3 linked regions of the Macaca fascicularis genome follow. The protein of the gene in region 3 interacts with the protein of the main gene of each other region in a pairwise test. Links are inferred from orthologs where the notes say so. Each region holds a gene or a part of one and is shown on either strand. Other genes may lie near its edges.

The links.
Region 1: the proteins of EGFR (region 3) and ARHGEF7 interact in a protein complementation assay, tested with the Homo sapiens proteins (3 studies listed by BioGRID and IntAct, with this or other methods). The link is inferred for Macaca fascicularis from reciprocal best matches to the Homo sapiens genes EGFR and ARHGEF7.
Region 2: the proteins of EGFR (region 3) and EZR interact in binary tests that used the Homo sapiens proteins (3 or more experiments, as listed by UniProt). The link is inferred for Macaca fascicularis from reciprocal best matches to the Homo sapiens genes EGFR and EZR.

Annotation. Positions count from the first base shown.
Region 1 is NC_088391.1:101,798,766-101,804,623, reverse strand, and holds part of ARHGEF7 (rho guanine nucleotide exchange factor 7), read right to left. Parts: intron 4,129-5,858; coding exon 4,042-4,128; intron 1,449-4,041; coding exon 1,280-1,448; intron 1,179-1,279; coding exon 1,039-1,178; intron 1-1,038. UniProt on the Homo sapiens protein: Acts as a RAC1 guanine nucleotide exchange factor (GEF) and can induce membrane ruffling. Functions in cell migration, attachment and cell spreading. Promotes targeting of RAC1 to focal adhesions. May function as a positive regulator of apoptosis.
Region 2 is NC_088378.1:67,100,710-67,107,026, forward strand, and holds the end of EZR (ezrin), read right to left. Parts: intron 6,173-6,317; coding exon 6,012-6,172; intron 5,648-6,011; coding exon 5,555-5,647; intron 3,416-5,554; coding exon 3,164-3,415; intron 2,980-3,163; coding exon 2,815-2,979; 3' UTR 1,617-2,814; downstream 1-1,616. Other genes in the region: SYTL3 (synaptotagmin-like protein 3), read left to right, coding at 74-183. UniProt on the Homo sapiens protein: Probably involved in connections of major cytoskeletal structures to the plasma membrane. In epithelial cells, required for the formation of microvilli and membrane ruffles on the apical pole. Along with PLEKHG6, required for normal macropinocytosis.
Region 3 is NC_088377.1:75,199,268-75,205,125, forward strand, and holds part of EGFR (epidermal growth factor receptor), read right to left. Parts: intron 5,256-5,858; coding exon 5,158-5,255; intron 4,391-5,157; coding exon 4,223-4,390; intron 3,857-4,222; coding exon 3,809-3,856; intron 3,073-3,808; coding exon 2,964-3,072; intron 1,436-2,963; coding exon 1,074-1,435; 3' UTR 1-1,073. UniProt on the Homo sapiens protein: Receptor tyrosine kinase binding ligands of the EGF family and activating several signaling cascades to convert extracellular cues into appropriate cellular responses.

The sequences.
Region 1 (5,858 bases), on a different chromosome or scaffold from region 3:
TAAAATTGTATGAAGTAGAGTTTCAGGCTGCTGTTGAAAATCTGAGTGAAGCAGCTCATCCACTGTTCTTTATAAACACACGTGTACACATGTCGCTGGGATAAACTGATCTCCACGAAAGAATGGAGAATTTTAAAACGGCAGAGCCATTAAAGATGAAATGCTAGCTAAAAGCCAATGAGTAGTTATCTGCACACTGCTGAGAGAAATCAGATGGACTCTGAAACTGATGAGAATATCAGAATACAGCAATCCTTCTTGATCTACAACCTTCCCATGAAGAAGAAAACATGAAAACTGAGCACACGACAGAACTGATCCTAATAACCTAGTAAGGATGTGAGGGAATCTGCAAGCTGAAAATGCCGTGTCATCGCCACTCATTCTTTAAAAGCTCTGCCCAGTTTTTCGGTATTACTTGATAAAGATGACGACTGTTAAAACAACCCGATACCAACTTCTTGAGCAAAAAACACCAGGAGAGGTTTAAACACTGCAACCGAATTCAGTGTTCATCTATTTTGAAAAGTTGTAATTCTCTAAAAATTCAAAGAGTTGCTGAGCTTTTCTAAGTAAAAGACACCTCAATTTCTTAAAATCAACAGTGTGTCATAAACTCTATTTTAATGCCTTCAACATGAATCTGGCCCTTTTCATCATCATAATCATTTATTTTCGTTTTCTTAAATGAAGCATAATAAACAGTTAAAATTCTCAGAAAAATCATCTATAGTTTAGTGTAAAACTCCCCTAAATTAGTCTTCTAAGGCCACGCTGAGCAAAAGCAGCTTCCCACCCAAGCACCTCTGAATTGTGCGTGAGGAGGCACAATTCAGGGTTGTTTCTCGAGAACACTCATTGGAAAACAATTCACTACTGCACAAAGAGGGCCAAATATTTTCAGAGAAATATCAAGCAAGCGTTTGCATTTTTATCCCAATATTGATCAGGTTTTAAAGCACGTGATCACTTGCTGACAGCTCAGCCACGGGATGCCACGCCTGGAGTCTGGAAGGAGAAGAAGCGCCAGGTCCTTACGGTATGAGACGGCACCGAATGAGGCTTTATGGTGGGGTTTCCCACAGATGTGACCTTCGTTTGCTTCTGTAGGTGGTCCACCCATTCCTGCAGATCCTGCTGGTTGTTGCATGACACTAATATCCGCTCGATCATGCTCCCTAGAGGAGAGAAGGAAAAAATAGGCCGAGTGGAAACACAGGTAAAAAGCGCGTGCATGCACACACAGCCCCCAGAATTCCACTCAACGCTTAAACACCACCTTCTGAAATATGCAAGCAAGAATCTGCACGCGGGGACAAGCTGCCTCTCCTCCCCGAGACACGGCACTCACACAGCTTGTGCCTATCACCTGATATTTCAAATGCATTTCTATGGTTTTCACTGTCCTCAAGCTTTGTGATTGTCATTCCTGTCGTTGGAAGCTTTCCCTAAAAAAGACCCCCCCACAAAAAAAAAACAATTAGTGCTTTTCTAGAAAAAGGTACCATTATTAAAGTAATATTAAATGATTTTAGAATTGGTGGAGGAACTGTGTTTGTGAACCAAAAAGAGTTCGTTTGTAGCAGATGCATGTATAATACAAAAATCTTTATCTCAAATAATAAATCATATTAATACTATACTGTAAGCAAGAAACTCAACTGGCGACAAGGGACAGACTGACAAGCCCAAACACACACTGCATCTGATGAGCTGCTACTAAACAGACACCAGGACAAAAAATCTCACATTATGATTTTTTAAAAACTACCACGTGTAACAGTTGTTTTAAACGATGTTTTTGCAGAAAAGCAGCATGTATTTGCCTCATAAAGAAATACAGAGGAAGCTCCAAGTTTAAAGTCAAAATAAGGGTGGGAAATTGAGGCAAGAACAAGAATTGCCTAACATTCTACTTTATAATCCACCAAACAGAAAATAAGTAGTTGTGCTAAATGCTGCACACAATGCAGAAAATGGTTGGCAAACCAATGCTCCCTGAAAATGGAAGAAATCAGTAACTGCAACAGGAAATGTCAATGGAAAAGATACCAGAAACGGGGTACAAAGTGATCATTACAAACAAATCAGAAGTGAACACAAAACAGTCTGGCGCAGCTGACAGAAACTACAGTACACGGTGGCCCACCAAGTCCTCAGGAAGAGGCAGTGGCATCTGGGTCGTGCTGCCTGGGGAGCACTCCATCAGCTGCGGAGCGAGATTCTGCATGAGCACCTCCAGTGGGAGTGCTGCTCAACGGGTGTGGGGAACGTGCCCCCACAGAGAATGGGTGGCAGTGCCACAACCTGGCAGGGGCTCAGACATCCAGCAAGTAAGGGCCAGAGAGGCTGCCTATACCCCACAGTACCCAGGACAGTCTCACTGAGCCCTCAGCCCCGGGCCATGAATGATCCAGTCCAAAACGTCAGCAGTGCCCAGGTGGAGAAATCTCATCCTAAAGCACGGCAGGTGGAAGAGGAGACTGCTGGACACTTCTGTGGCCAAGCGTATTTTAAAAATGCTACACACTGTGAACTCCTTTCCAAGATTCACAATGCATGTAAGTACTTTAACAGCTGTGAGTGCTACAGAAAATGAAACTGCACAACTGTGTTTAACCTAGCCCACCGGAACATCGGTGTACAGAGCACTGTGGCTGTGGCTGGATCGAACACTTTTTAGCATCCCCCAAAGCCAGTGTTCCAATGGTAGAAATGAAGACTGACGATACAGAGACCATGGCTCACCACTGTACTAAGAACTGAAAAATAGAATCCTGTCGTTGAGATGAGCCCCAGCAGTCTGTCAGCACGTCAAGGGTAAAGCCAGTGTGAGCCCCAGTCCCACAGGCAGAGACTCAAGCCTGCCACGAGTGGCAACCTCTTCTCCCTTAGGCTAGAGAAGGCTCCTGTCTCCAGCCACTGGAATGAGACTCTGGGGATATAAAATAGGAAGCCAGATAGTGCTGACCAGAAAGGACAGAGATTTAGGTTTATCAAGGTCATTTAACAAAGAAGTAGCTGCTAGTTTATTGGAAAACTCTAGTGGGCACCACCTTAGCCACAGATCACCTCTCTTCAGCAGTGGCCTTACAAACTACAGCCTTATTTTCCTGAGTCTTTTCCTATATATGTGATTCATCAATTCTAAAGCACCCGTTTTAGAGTAAGCGTATGACGACAAGTCCTCTCTGGGTGGTCGACAAAGCCTCTGTGAAGGCACAGTGTCTGCTTAGGGCTCTCTAACGCCCTTGCTGGGACGACACAAAACAACACATGCTACAATGAAACGCAACCCAGGGAACACGAAGTGGTGGCTTCTGCTGCAGTGGTTATGTGGTGACTGGCCAGTCCTCAGAAAGTTGATGGGAAGGATATGAGCCTCTATTACTTCACAGAAAAAAAAGAATGAAACCTGCCAAGTGCATCTACTAGACAGCAAAAATACCAGCTCCTTCACATACCACCACTATAAACCACTGTCATAACAGAGAAGGCCCTGCTCACCCTTGCACCTCCTTCTCAAATCCGCTGTCACATTTTCTCCAAGAAAAGCAGGGAAACAAAAATTAAAAAGGTTCAACAATCACACACTGCTACTTACATACGTACATCACTTTCTATTTGCTGATGCATTTGGGCAGTGCTGTGCCACTGACACAAGACCTTAGTCTACACTACCCCACTAACCCACAAGCCCTAGCTGAACCCATTTCACAGAACAAAACTATAGCAAGGAGCAGCAAGGTATTTTGCATGAAATGACAGAAGGCAATGACAGAGGCTGACTTGTGCCACAGTCATCTGTGTCCTTATGAAGTTGCTCTACATTTACACTTCTTTCCTTTTTTAAAATGAACATAGGATATGCTTGCATAGTCACAGCGAAACATAAACAGGAGCCGTACATCCATATCTGAACATACGGCATTACACACACAGCACATACACAGATACATGTAATATTTAACACAAAATTCAAAGTCAGCTTGAAATTATCCTCAGATCCACAATAAAATATAAATTTAGATGGTGTTTTACCTGATAGATAAAGCCACTCATCCTAGGACTGGCAGACAACATCAGCAAAACATTTGGGAAGAGTAGAAGATATCTTTCATTCTTTTCCTAATACAAAAAAAGAAACCCAAAACATTTCTTAAACAACATCTACTTACAAATGTGAGCACAAATACTTATTTATACTAGACCCTATGAAACATCACATGGTATTTCTCATTTAGGTATTTCTGTCAAGTTTTATCAGGTAAATTAAATGGAAACAATTATGATAAATTCTGTATTAAGTCTTAATATATGATTAAGAGAGAGCTTTGACATATAGGTAAAGAGAAGGATTTCTAAATTCTTCAAAAAACAAAAGGTAAGAAACTAAACTGAATGATTAAAAGATCCTGCAGTCACAATTAGCCTGTGTAACATCTTGAAAATATATCTGGTTAAGGAGTTCAGCTCTGTGATTATTTTCAGGTAAGCTAAAATTTTCTTTTTCTGGTTCAGAGAAAAAGGAGAGAACCTATACATTTTAGTGGGGTGAACAGGTGAAGTCTTTAAGCTAAAGGAAGGATAGGATAAAATGTTAAAATCAATTTCAGTCTACTACTAATTCCTGGCACTTCCCAAACCTCCCAAATGTCAAATCAGTGTTGTTCTCATCCACCCCATAAACATCACCTGGTTTACATCAGACTTAAAAGTATTACTTATGTATTAAAAATCACTTGCTTCGGTAAGATAAAAGCCAAAGAGACGATAAGTGAAAGAAAAAAGTTCCTAAGAATCCAAAAAGTGACAAAAAAATGCCAGACAGTCCTTTTCACATGTTGACACTTAAACTACGGCCCCCAAAAGTGTAATCGGTCCTAGGAATTAGTTTCCCCACGTATATTCCTCAGAACATTAGGCTTACGCAAAGCACCTTGAAAAGAGTCTTCCATACTTTAAAGAAGCCACTGAGAACGACTTGCTACAGCCCCCTCTTGAAGACTCACAACATACTTTGGGAACATTGAGAGCCAAGTCTCTGAGGAGCTCTGTCATAAAGAATCTTTTCCACTAATCATGTTCAGTCGTGATCAGAACCACTCTGAAGCATTCTGAAGTAACACCCACCAGCATTGTGTAGATCTAATATTATAAAGAACACACTTTGGGAAATGTTTACACATTTAATTTTAATTTTAAAAATTAAAGTTTAAAAGAGCATGATTCAAAAAGAAACTGCTTCTGAAAAGATGTGAGGTTTTTACAATCACGGTTTCTTACGGTACCCAAACTACAGGACTATGTAGAAGGGGTGATATTTTATAGGTGGAAAGGAAAACACACTGTGAAAGTTTCAAGTTTTAGTTTTCTTTTTCTCCTTAGAGTCTCATGTTCAAAAATGAGTCATTTAGCATGTTTTGATCATGTTATTTTTGCAGAGGTAGAATAAAATTCAAAAAGAGGTGCCTGTTTAGTGACCCACTGAATGTATGTCAATGTGAATCATGAAACAAACTGCTCGATTTTCACTGTGTGGGTGGGTATGTCCCAAAAATCTGAGTTGATCTCTCACTTAAACCAAACCCGTAAGAAAACTGTGACTCCTGTAAGCATATGTCAGCTAGCATACTTTCACAGGAAAGTATAATGACCTGAAAGCACTGAGAGCGGCAGGTCCCTGTGACAGCAAGCCTTGGTACAAAGTTGCTGGCCAGATAAGCGCATACAGCTCCGTGCAGATGTGTGCATGGGACTCCTGGCAAGTCTTTCCGCATGCTATCCTTCAGTTCACGTGGGTTTCAGGCCAGACTGACTTCAGCTGGAACAAACTGGTCAACAAGTCCACACTCAGC
Region 2 (6,317 bases), on a different chromosome or scaffold from region 3:
ATTTTCAAAGAGCTGAGAGGGGATGAAGTGGTGCCCTCCCTGACCATGGCTAAGCTGTCATCCTCTCTTACAGAGGGAGACACAGCTGGTGGCGGGGATGCATGCTCACAATCGAAGCTCCAGTGGCAAAAAGTCCTTTCCAGCCCCAATCTATGGACAGACATGACCCTTGTCCTGCACTGATGCGAAGGCCTCGAGGTTCCAGGTCGCAGTGGGTGTGAAGCACTGTGCGTCTGCAGAGTGGGGCTGCAAACCAGGGGCAGGGTCCCAGCTGGAGACCCTTTGGACCTTGAGCAGTCTCCATCTGCAGTCCTGTCCCGTGGCTTAAATGCCTACTGGTATCTGTATATTTAAGTTAAACACAATAATGTATGTTACCTAAGCCTCTGGTGGGTTATCTCCGCGATGGAGAAAATGGCCAGATTTCAATAAATGTTGTTACCGGCATCCTCCAGTGCTTATCAAATGGTAAAAGGCCGGCTGGTGGGCACGGTGGCTCCCCACCTGTAATCTCAGCAACTTTGGGAGGCTGCAGTGGATGGCTTGAGCTCAGGAGTGTGAAATCAGCCCAGGAAACACAGAGATACCCTGTCTACAGAAAAAACAAAAAATTGGCCGGGCGCGGTGGCTCAAGCCTGTAATCCCAGTTTGGGAGGCTGAGGCAGGGGGATCACAAGGTCAGGAGATTGAGACCATCCTGGCTAACCCGGTGAAACCCTGTCTCTACTAAAAAATACAAAAAACTAGCCGGGCGAGGTGGTGGGCGCCTGTAGTCCCAGCTACTCGGGAGGCTGAGGCAGGAGAATGGCGTGAACCCGGGAGGCGGAGCTTGTAGTGAGCTGAGATCCGGCCACTGCACTCCAGCCTGGGTGACAGAGCGAGACTCCACCACAAAAAAACCCAAAAAATTATCCGGGTGTGGTGGTGCACACCTGTAGTCCCAGCTACTCAGGAGGCTGAGCCAGGAGGATAGAGAACAGGAGGTTGAGGCTGCAGTAAGCCCTGACTACACAACTGTGCTCCAGCCTGGGCCAAAGGAAGACCCTGTCTCAAAAAAAAAAAAAAAAAAAAGTCACAGCTTAAAGGAGCATTTTATTTTTTTGAGATGGAGTCTCCCTGTGTCGCCAGGCTGAAGTGCAGTGGCACAATCTCAGCTCGCTGCAACCTCCAACTCCTGGGTCCTAGCAATTCTCCTGCCTCAGCCTCCCAAGTAGCTGGGATTACAGGCATGCGCCACCACACCTAATTTTTGTATTTTTAGTAGACGGCCTTTCACCATGTTGGCCAGGATGGTCTCCATCTCCTGACCTTGTGAACCGCCTGCCTCGGCCTCCCGAAGTGCTGGGATTACAGGCATGAGCCACCGCACCCGGCGGTGAGCAGCATTTTAGAGGAGCCTGGTGAGTTGGAGTGTCCTCTCCCATGGAAACTGTCTCCAGAGGAGGTTAGGTGACCTACGGAGCACCATGTCTTGGGTTGGTCAGCTCTAACTTACCAGTGTATCCCCAGGGACACCATGGCCCCTCACAAAACCCAGCCGGAGGACAGCATAGAGCCCAGGCAAGTCGGCGGTGGCCCTCCCACCCCACACACAAGTACACAGCCATGCTGCTTCGTGCCTTTGCAAAGCTTTTATTTCATGTCTGCAGCATGGAATCCACCTGCACATGGCATCTTAGCTGCGAAGGAGTAAGCAGTGCACGAGAAGGAACGAGTGGGCAGAACCAATGGCCTCCACAAGCTGCCTTCCAGCAGCCTGCCAAGGCCATGGCAGAGACTACAAACAAACACAAGCAAACAGTCTCTCCATGGCTGGAGTCTGAAAGGTCATAGTGGCATGTGTGTATTTGACAAAATTAAAAATGTGCATAGTCCATTATATGCATAAAACACTAACAATAAAAATCCTGTTTACACGTGACTGCAGCAGGCAGGTAACCAGCTTCACCACTGCCCTCCTGCCACATCACATCAAGTGCCATGGTTAGAGGGTTTTTCATATGTAATTCTTTTATTCTGTAAAAGGTAACAAAATATACAGAACAAAACTTTCCCTTTTTAAAACTAATGTTACAAATCTGTATTATCACTTGTATATAAATACTATATAGCTGATCATTAATAAGGTGTATAAGTACAACAATGTATTCTAACTGTTAAGCAAAAAAACCTAAAAAAAACCTAAAAAAAACCTAAAAAAAATTTATCCAAGTGTCCTACATACACCACTCACGCTGGTGATCACTGCTCTCTGCCAGCTGCGTGGAGTGACGGAAGGAGGGAATCATTGTGTGTGTATGTGCCAGAGTGCTTCAAACTCAATTTCCCAAAAAAATTTTCACCCCTCAAAGCATGTAAATATACAAAGATGGATCCTTCATAGAAATTAAAAACAAAAACCAATTTGAGCTCATTTCAAATACAGAACAAGTATGGCACAGATGGAAGCCGCGGTTTCCTTTAACGATGCTGACTCTCGTATCACACAGGCCAGCATGAAGTTTCTTACTCAGACTTTACAGGCATTTTCCGTAATTTAATCAGTCCTGCTCCCAGCACAACACAGGAGGTGATTTGAGAATAATCGCAAGAATCAGGCCTGCTTGGCACTATGATACAACTGGGGAAAACCAACCAGGGCGCCTCCCTGGTTCCCAACCCAGAATGTTTCTGTTGGGTAACTGCTTTTTAAAGGAACTGGGCTTTTGGAGTTCCTAGACTCGGAGCACTAAAGACACAAGCGTGGCGAGGCTGGCAGCGCCGGCGGCAGCGCCCGCTGTGAGCGCCCCTCTGCCCTTGGTCCTGGCCTGGCCATTACAGGGCCTCGAACTCGTCGATGCGCTGCTTGGTGTTGCCCTGCCGGATCTGCCGCAGCGTCTTGTACTTGTCCCGGCCTTGCCTCATGTTCTCGTTGTGGATGATGTCATTGTGGGTCCTCTTATTCTCATCTCGGGCCTGGGACAGCTCGCTGCTCAGCGTCTGCAACATTAAGCAGCATTGGTCAGGTCCCTTCCTCCCCATATGGCCCAGCCCCTCCCCTAGGAAAATGGGAAGGGCAAGAGGGGTGCTAGGTGGGGCTGGCTCACATCACTGCCTTCCCCAAGCCTGTCTGCTGCAAGAGCAAGGCGGGCCCCCTAGAGACACACAGCCCCTTGGGCCTCACCAGCAGCTGCCGCTGCACACGCTCATTCTTCTCCGCCTCAGTGATACGCTTCTCCTCATTGCGGTCATCCCGGATGCCCTCACTAGACAGCTCTGCACTGTAGCCCGTGGGCTCCGCACCCTCATCCTGCAAGCTCTCCTGGACATGGTAGCTCAGTGGCTCGTACATGGGGGGTGGCGGGGGCGGGGGTGCCGTCATCACCAGGTGTAGCTCCTCCTTGGTCTTCACCAGGTCATCCTGGGCTTCTTTGGCCTTTGGAAAGCAAAATTAGTAGGTGAGAACTTCTCACCCAAAAGTCCTATCCTCCTGGCTATAAGAACCAACTGTTGCCTCCCTCTGTCCTGGCACGCTAAGGCAGCACTAAACCGTGCTGGGCCATGGCTTCGAAGAAGAGCCCCTCAAAGTGCATGTGGGGTTGACAACCCTCTGCATCCAAGACAGGAAGAGGAACTGTGATGCCGGAGCCTGGGCAGTTTTAAAACTACCATTTCTTTTTTTTTTCTGTCTATAACTCTAGACGTTATATAATTTTTAGGAAAAAAAATCCTGTTAAATGAGTAACAGGCTCTGTTCCCAGCCTCCCCTCATGCCACGGTCATTATCAAGTGGTCTCCTGCTCACCACTTGCAGTCCTTCCAACAGCGTCACACATGCCCAGTCCTGCCCGCCTCCATCCCAGCCCTGGAGTCGAGCTTAGTGTGGATCTGCGCTGGAGCCAGCTCTCCTCACTTACCTCTTAACAGGTACTTTCTCAAAAACCTAAGAACCAAAGTCTTCTGCTTGCAACTTCGGATGGTGATATGGCTGTGTCCCCACCCAAAGCTCATCTCCAACTGTAATCCCCACATGTCGGGGGGGGGGGGGTTTACCTGGTGGGAGTGACTGGATCGTGGGGTGGTTTCCCCTATGCTGTTCTCGTGCTAGTGGGTGGGTTCTGAGTGAGAGCTGATGGTTTCAGTGTTTGGCACCACCCCCCTTTGCTTTTCTCTCTTCTGCCCTCACGTAAGAGGTGTGCCTGCTTCCCCTTCACCTTCTGCCATGACTGTAAACTTCCTGAGGCCTCCCCAGTCATGTGGGACTGTGAGTCAATTAAACCTCTTCTTTAACTACCCAGTCTCAGGTAGTTCTTTACAGCCGTGTGAGAACAGACTAATACAGATCGGCAGCAGGAATGGGGGCTGGAACAAAGGCAAGGAGGCACTGGCCAGAAGTGGCCCTGGAGAGCCAGGAGACACGTCCCCAGAAGGCACCACCACAGATGGAGAAGCCACAGTGGGGGAAGGACAGGCCAGAGGATCTGTGAAGGAGAAGAGCTTCTTAAAGCCTGGTGTGCAGTCTCCAATGGGAACCATCCCCAGACTTTCTCAGGGGCTGTGCCTTCCTGGAGGGCAGAGGGGATCCCAGCTTCTCTCTCCCAGAGAGAAGCTCTGTGTGCGTCTCACAGTGACAGCTACAGCTGATTAAACCTCTGTTTGCCAGGTCCTGGGCATGGGACCTCACATCTGCAGAGCAACTTTATGAGTTGGGTATCACCCCCATTCTACAATAAGGAAAATGAGGCTGGGAGAGGTGATGCTACTAGCTCCCCGTCAGATAGCTGATGGGCAGCAGAGCCCGGCTCTTGCTCCAGCCGAGAGAATTCCAAGGACCTGGATCTTTTCATGGTGCCCGCTATATATACCAGCTGCAGGAGGTTGTGTTTCAGGCACTGCGACCCCATTGCAAGGTGCACATATATAATCAGATTTAAAACCAATTCAGATCAGCTGTCAGAGGAGGCTGTCAGATCAGCACTGAACAGTTTGGGGTGGAGGGAGCAAGGTCGTGAAAGTCAATCAGAAGTCCTCCCTCTATGAATCCAGCAGCTGCAATGACTCAAGTACAAAGTCAAACCCATCTCTTTGGGGATGTCTTTTTTTTTTTTTTTTTTTTTTTTTGAGACGGAGTCTCACGCTGTTGCCCAGGCTGGAGTGCAGTGGCGCGATCTCGGCTCACTGCAAGCTCCGCCTCCCGGGTTCCCGCCATTCTCCTGCCTCAGCCTCCTGAGTAGCTGGGACTACAGGTGCCCGCCACCGTGCCCGGCTAATTTTTTGTATTTTTAGTAGAGACGGGGTTTCACTGTGGTCTCGATCTCCTGACCTTGTGATCCGCCCGCCTCGGCCTCCCAAAGTGCTGGGATTACAGGCTTGAGCCACCGCGCCCGGCCGGGGATGTCTACTTCAGTAATACAACTGGTATCGGCAGAGGATCGTGAGACTCCCAGAAGCTTCCAGTAGGACATGGCAGCTGAGCCAAACCTCTCCCCCAACCCACCCACCTGCAGAAGGGCCCACTGCCCAGGCAGTGGGCAACAGGTGCCGTGGCCGTGCGGCTTCCCCCATGCAGACTCACCCTGTGCTGCCACTCTTCAACCTCATCCTCCTTGCGCCTCCGCGCCTCTTCCAGGAGGGCAATCTTGGCAGTGTATTCTGCAAGCTCCGCAGCCTGGGAAGGGAATGCCAAGCTAAAGTGACTTCTGATATCCTTTCAAGAGTCCAGTTGTGAATGAGTGTTAATGTGTGTTGGTGAGCAGCCTCCACTGTGACATCTGAGTCCCCGTCACCCCCACTTCATGGCTAGCAGGGTTCATCGTGCACCCTCCCTACCATCACTTCCTGGATGCCCACACCCACCTTCAACGGGTGACCCTGGCAACAGCCCGGCCCCTTCCCCGCCAGCTGCTTCATTCCCCAGCAGATCAGCTTACAGCTTCCAGTCATGACAATTATTACAAGGCAGGTGTCACATTTTCCGTCCTCAGAAGCAGCCTCTCTATAATTCAGCATCTTGAAACTCAGGCCATTCCTACCAGCTGCTCCTGGCTCTTTATCTGATCCACCGCCTGTCTCTCCAGCTCCTCCTTAGCCCGCAGCGCGGCCATGCGGTCAGCCTCTAGGCGCTCAGCCTCCTCCTGCGCCCGCTTCCTCTCCTCCTCCAGCTGCAGGGCCCTCTGAATCTGCTCCGAGAGCTCTGAGAAGACACAAAGCCAGAGCCGTTCAAGCCCTTGGCCCAGGAACCTAGGCGCCTTCGCCTTCGCCTTCCATTTGCACCCCCAAAGCCACAGAGCCCTAGACCAAGTCACAGGTCAAGGGGGGATGTCTTCCAGTGACCCTGG
Region 3 (5,858 bases):
GAACCCAAACTAATTTTGGGGGGTTGCGGTGATGGCTAAAGGAGATTTCAGAGCAGCTTCATTTTTGTGGTCTCCTGCTCTATGCCCCAAAGGACCTGATGCATTTCATCTGAGCCTCAAATCAGGAGATATGTTTTTGCGAGAACAAAAGCGGTGCTATCCTTAGGTATTCCACATTCTCAGCTGTGGGCTATTGGTCTGAATGCCGATGAATCCAATGTGGGCTGGAATCCGAGTTATTATTTGATGTGTCATCCTCTCTTGCTGATTCCATGACAGCAAGACAGGAGCAGCATACTGAGTTTCAAAACAATGGAATGGAAGACAAACAAGTCAGTCTAACGCTCACGACTGGAAACCACTAGTCAACCAGTGGGGAGTAAGTACCGTGGGGACATTTTTACAAAAGTAAGTCTAAGGAAGAATTCTATCCCCTCCATTTCTTTTTTGCCCAGGAAGGGACAGAGTGGCTTATCCTATTGTACCTGCCATGACTTGATACAGTACCGATCCGGCCTGCTGGGGCCATGAAGGGCTTCTTGGATCTTTAGTGTTTTGCAGTGGAAGCCTTGAAGCACAACCACTGGAATCAAGCGTCCACTGGAAGACTTGTGGCCTGTGCTCCTTGCTCACAGTTGGGCCTGGATGAACTCAGGGTGGCAAGTGCTACCAGCAAGCTTCTTCTTTGTTGGAAGAGCCCACGGAAGTAAAAATGAATAGTGACAATGAAAAACTCCAAGATCCCCAATCAATAAAAATCCTGACATATACTTTTTTTTTTTTTTTCAAATATACTTCCTTGAAGGATAAACTTCTGCTCAAAGGGACAATATTCTTGCTGGATGCGTTTCTGTAAATGCTTCACAGTTTGAAGACAAAGGAATGCACCTGCAACTTCCCAAAATGCGCCCGAGGTGGAAGTACTTCCTGGCTGATCGGTGTAAACGTTGCGAAACCAGTCTGTGGGTCTAAGAGCTAATGCGGGCATGGCTGTTGGGATGGAGGACCCGCTGTGGCTTGGTCCTGGGTATTGACAGAGTCTGGATTTTAAGGGCTCATGCTGTCCTCCGTGGTCATGCTCCAATAAATTCACTGCTTTGTGGTGCGACCCTTAGGTATTCTGCATTTTCAGCTGTGGAGCCCTTAAAGATGCCATTTGGCTTGGCTTCCTTGGGAAAGAAGTCCTGCTGGTAGTCAGGGTTGTCCAGGCTAATTTGGTGGCTGCCTTTCTGGGCCCAATGAGCAGGGCTGTCGAATGTGCTGTTGACACAGGTGGGCTGGACAGTGTTGAGATACTCGGGGTTGCCCACTGCGGTGCTGTGGGGGTCCTGGTAGTGTGGGTCTCTGCTGGGCGCAGGGTTCAGAGGCTGATTGTGATAGACAGGATTCTGCACAGAGCCAGCGGGCCTTTTGGGAACAGACTGGTTTATGTATTCTGAAAGTGGAAAGAAATCAGAGGTGAAGTAATCAGCAAAGCACCATCCCATGCAAGATCCCCGGGTTCTGAACCCTGTGAATGTCTTCAACAGGGAGATTTATGACAGGGAGCAGGAGCCTTGGGAGGACCCTCTTGCTGTTGCTGCAAAAGAAAGTGGGTTCTTTCCTGCACTTCTCAAAGTAATGGACACGTGTGTCTTTTGTAAATTTAAAGTTCTCAGAGGATAGCCTGCTTTGAGGACTGTGTGTGTGTGTGTGTGTGTGTGCATGCATGTGTACATGTATGTGTGGTGTGTATGTGGTATGTGTGTCTGCTGTGTGTATATGAGTGTGTATGTGTGCTGTGTGTGTGGTGTATGTTTGTATGTGTGTGGTGTGTGCATGTGTGGTGTGTATGTGTGTGTATATGTGGTGTGTGTGTACATGTGTATGTATGGTGTGTGTGGTGTGTATGTGTCTATGTGGGTATGTGTGGTATGTGTTTGTGTGTGGTGTGGGTGTGTGTGTACATATGTGTATGTGGTGTGTGTACATGTGTGTCTGTGGTGTGGGTAAGTGTACATGTGTGGTGTGTGTATGTGTGGTGTGTGTGGTGTGTATATGTATGTGTGTGGGGTTTTTGTGGTGTGTGGTATGTGTGTATGTATGTGTGGTGTGTGTGTGGTGTGGGTGTGTATGTGTGCACACATACATGTATGTGGTGTGTGTACATGTCTGTGGTGTATGTGTGTGGCGTGTGTACGTCTGTGTGGTGTGTGTGTATGTGTGGTGTGTGTGGTGTGTATGTGTGGTGTGTGTATGTGTGTATATATATGTGTGTGTATACGTGTGTGTGGTGTCTGTGTGTATATGTGTGTGTATGTGTGGGGGGTTTTTGTGGTGTGTGTGGTATATGTGTGGTGTAAGTGTGTATACATGTATGTGTGTGTGTGGTGTGTGTGGTGTGTGTATATTTGTGTGCATGTGTATGTGTCTGTGTATGGTGTGTGTGGTCTGTGTATGTGTGTGGTGTGTGTATATGTGTGTGTATGTGTATGTGTGTGTATATATGTGTGTGTGTTAGCAGGTTGTGAGTGTCTGGATAAAGCTTAGAATTTATTAATATTAACTAATATTTAATTAGTTAAATATATGTTTCACAGGTCAAGAATAGAGCCAGCAGAGAGAACAGGGATCAAATCTGTCACACACACACATACACATACACAGATGTACACACATCATGCACATACTCACACACACACGTATGTCTGTCGTTTGTTTCATAATCTGGAAATTTTGCAGATTCATTCTTAAAACAGAGGTACAGCAAACAACCCAGACACAACAAGGAGCTTGTGCAGCCTCCATCATGTGTTTATCTGCTCCTTACGCCCTTCACTGTGTCTGCAAACGCCTGCCACTGTTTCCCCCTCTGGAGATGCTGGAGGGAGCACCTGGCTTGGACACTGGGTGGTGGAGACTGGCTGCTGCTGAGTGGGTCGAGGAGGCTGAGGAGCAGGAATGTTTCCAGACAAGCCACTCACCAGGCACTGGGAGGAAGGTGTCGTCTATGCTGTCCTCAGTCAAGGCGCCTGTGGGGTCTGAGCTGTATCGCTGTAAGAAGCTGTCTTCCTTGATGGGACAGCTTTGCAGCTGCAGGAGGAAATGAGGGAAGGTTACTCCAGTCAGGGCTGCTCCAACTTCAGTGTGTGCAAAAATCACCTGAAATCTCCTTGAGATGCAGGTTCTGATTTGTAGGTCGGGCAGGCCTGAGAGTCTGCACCCTAGCGGGTGCCCGTGCTACTGGGCCGCAGGCTGCAGGGCGGGCAGCGGGGCTGTGCTGGGTGCTGTCCAGCAGAACTTTCTGCAGTGAGGGAGGTATGCTATGAGCGGTGCTCTTCAATACGGTCGCCACTAGGCACGTGTGGCTACTGGACACTTCACATGTGTGAGAAACTGAATTTTATATTTCATTTCATTTTAACTTACTAACATTTAAGTTGAAGTAGCCACATGTGGCTAGTGGTTTCTGCATGGCACAATGTGGTCTAGACCAGAGCCTCACATTTCAACAGGCATCAGCATCACCTGGAAGGTGGCTCAAAGAAAGACTACTGGGTGCCACCCCCAGAGGTCCTGATTTGGTTAATCTGGGGCGGTGGCCTGAAAAATGGCATTTCTAACAAGCTGCCAGGTGATGCTGCTACTGGTCCAGGAGCCACGCTTTGAATGGCACTGTGAGGCGTGACAGCCATGCAGGAAAAAACCCACACAGGAAGAAAACTCAAGATTATCTGGGTTAAAATTATTTAGGTTAAGGCATTTTCCACGTATAATAGAGTCGTAGTGCAGAGCTGTAAATGCTGGCTTATAAGGTGTTCATACATACCCCATTTCTATCAATGCAAGCCACAGTGGAATTGTTGCTGGTTGCACTCTGAAAAAGAAACAGAGAAGTTGCCCATGGAATGATTGTACTGTATCTCATCCACTTTTCCTGAATGCAGGTGGTGTGCTTCATGGAGGGTATATTGTGAAGGTGTTTAATTTTTGTCTTAATCATTAGTTTTAGAGCAACTATGTTTAGTTTTGATTTAATTCTGTTCCATAGTGGACCTAAAAGGCTTACAATCAAGTTGTTGCAATGCAACAAAGTAATACACTTATTTAATTGATTTTGATTTTACCATTTGGTTAAAATTGACTTCATCTCCGTGTGAGTTTCACTAGATGGTTATTATTTTCCCTAAAATTCATTTTGTTCAATTTGAGAGACAGCTTGAGAGAGACAGAGGTTTCATACCAGAGAGCTCAGGAGGGGAGTCCGTGACGTGGAGGGGCTGCTGAAGAAGCCTTGCTGTGGGATGAGGTACTCGTCGGCATCCACCACGTCGTCCATGTCTTCTTCATCCATCAGGGCACGGTAGAAGTTGGAGTCTGTAGGGCTTGGCAAATGCATTCTTTCATCCCCCTGGTGCAGAGATTTTGAGGCTATTAGAATGGCCCATAGAGATGCTATTCCACTTCTTGGCTATAGGAGCAGGGCTCTATTGCCAGCAGGTGCCTGTGTGTTTGCCAATTTTCTTATAATGAAATCCCCCTTAGTTCTCTGAATTATAGCTGCCTCCCTCATGGCATGTGGGTGCCTTAAAATAAAACATGAACCATCCTTTGATGCTTGAAAGCCCCTACATGAGATGCAAATAGCTTCTGAGGAAACAGGGAAGAAGCTGCAGCGTTCATCGAGTGTGCACCTTGCTGTGAGGTACTAGGGAGTGTATTTTGCAACATATCTTATTAAATCTTTGAGACCAATCCTGTGAGCCTGGTTTTGGTATTCCCATGTTATGGAAGGAGATAGGTGGATCGGCTGCCTGGGTGATGGGACGAAGTGGAGAGTCAGGGGTGTGAAGCCAGGTCTGCCTGACACCAAGGCCAATAGACCATGCTTCTCTGTTAGACCCAGCTGAAGCTCTGGCTAGCTGGACAGTGAGGATGAGTGTGGGAGGAGAGTTCAGACGGGGACGGGGAGGTGGAGTTGGGTGGGCCCCACTCACGGACCCTGCTTAGTTCACGATGTGGCCTGCGCCTTAACTGAGGCTTGCTCTAATGCGCTGGGGGGTTTAATAATGCGATCTGGGACACAGGGAGGCCAGGTTGGCATGTGACAGAGCACAGTGACATGAGATGCTTATTAGAGGGACTCTTCCCAATGGAAGGACAGGTTACGATTTGTACCTGAATAACAAGGTAGCGCTGGGGGTCTCGGGCCATTTTGGAGAATTCAATGATCAACTCACGGAACTTTGGGCGACTATCTGCGTCTATCATCCAGCCTGGGGAAGGAATGAGAAAAAACAGTGCAATTACAACACTGGAAGAAATGATAAAGACGGCATTGCTTAAAGAAGGCATTGGTGATGCAACACTTCCAGTCAAATAAGTGATGAAAGAACCAAGTATTTGTGGTAGACTTTTCTGTCTTGGCCAACTAGTACTGGTTACTGTTTAAAGACCATGCCAGCACCGTACATTTGAATCAGAATAACAATAATGCCCTCCAGTTTTTCTACGCCCACTCTTCCTGGGGTCAGCATCCTGTGTTGTTGCCTGAGGGGATGGAGCAGTGTGGGTCTGTGCAATTGCTCTCTGTGAACTATCCTGACTGCAGGGTGCCCTGCACCAAGGTCCTCACTCGACATCCACCCTCAGCATTCCTTCAGGCAGGAAATCAGATGCAACGTAGAAAAATAGGCTTTAAAGAATTTGGGATTGGGTCCGGGCCCCTGCCCCTGGCGTCTCCAGTACAGCACATACGCAGTGGGCATACATGCAAGTGAGAGGGCTGGCTGCGCTGGCAACTTCCATAGAAGGATACACTGTTAACTGTGCTGCTGCATGTGACTACCCAACCATCTAAATCCAGATTAAACAAGTTG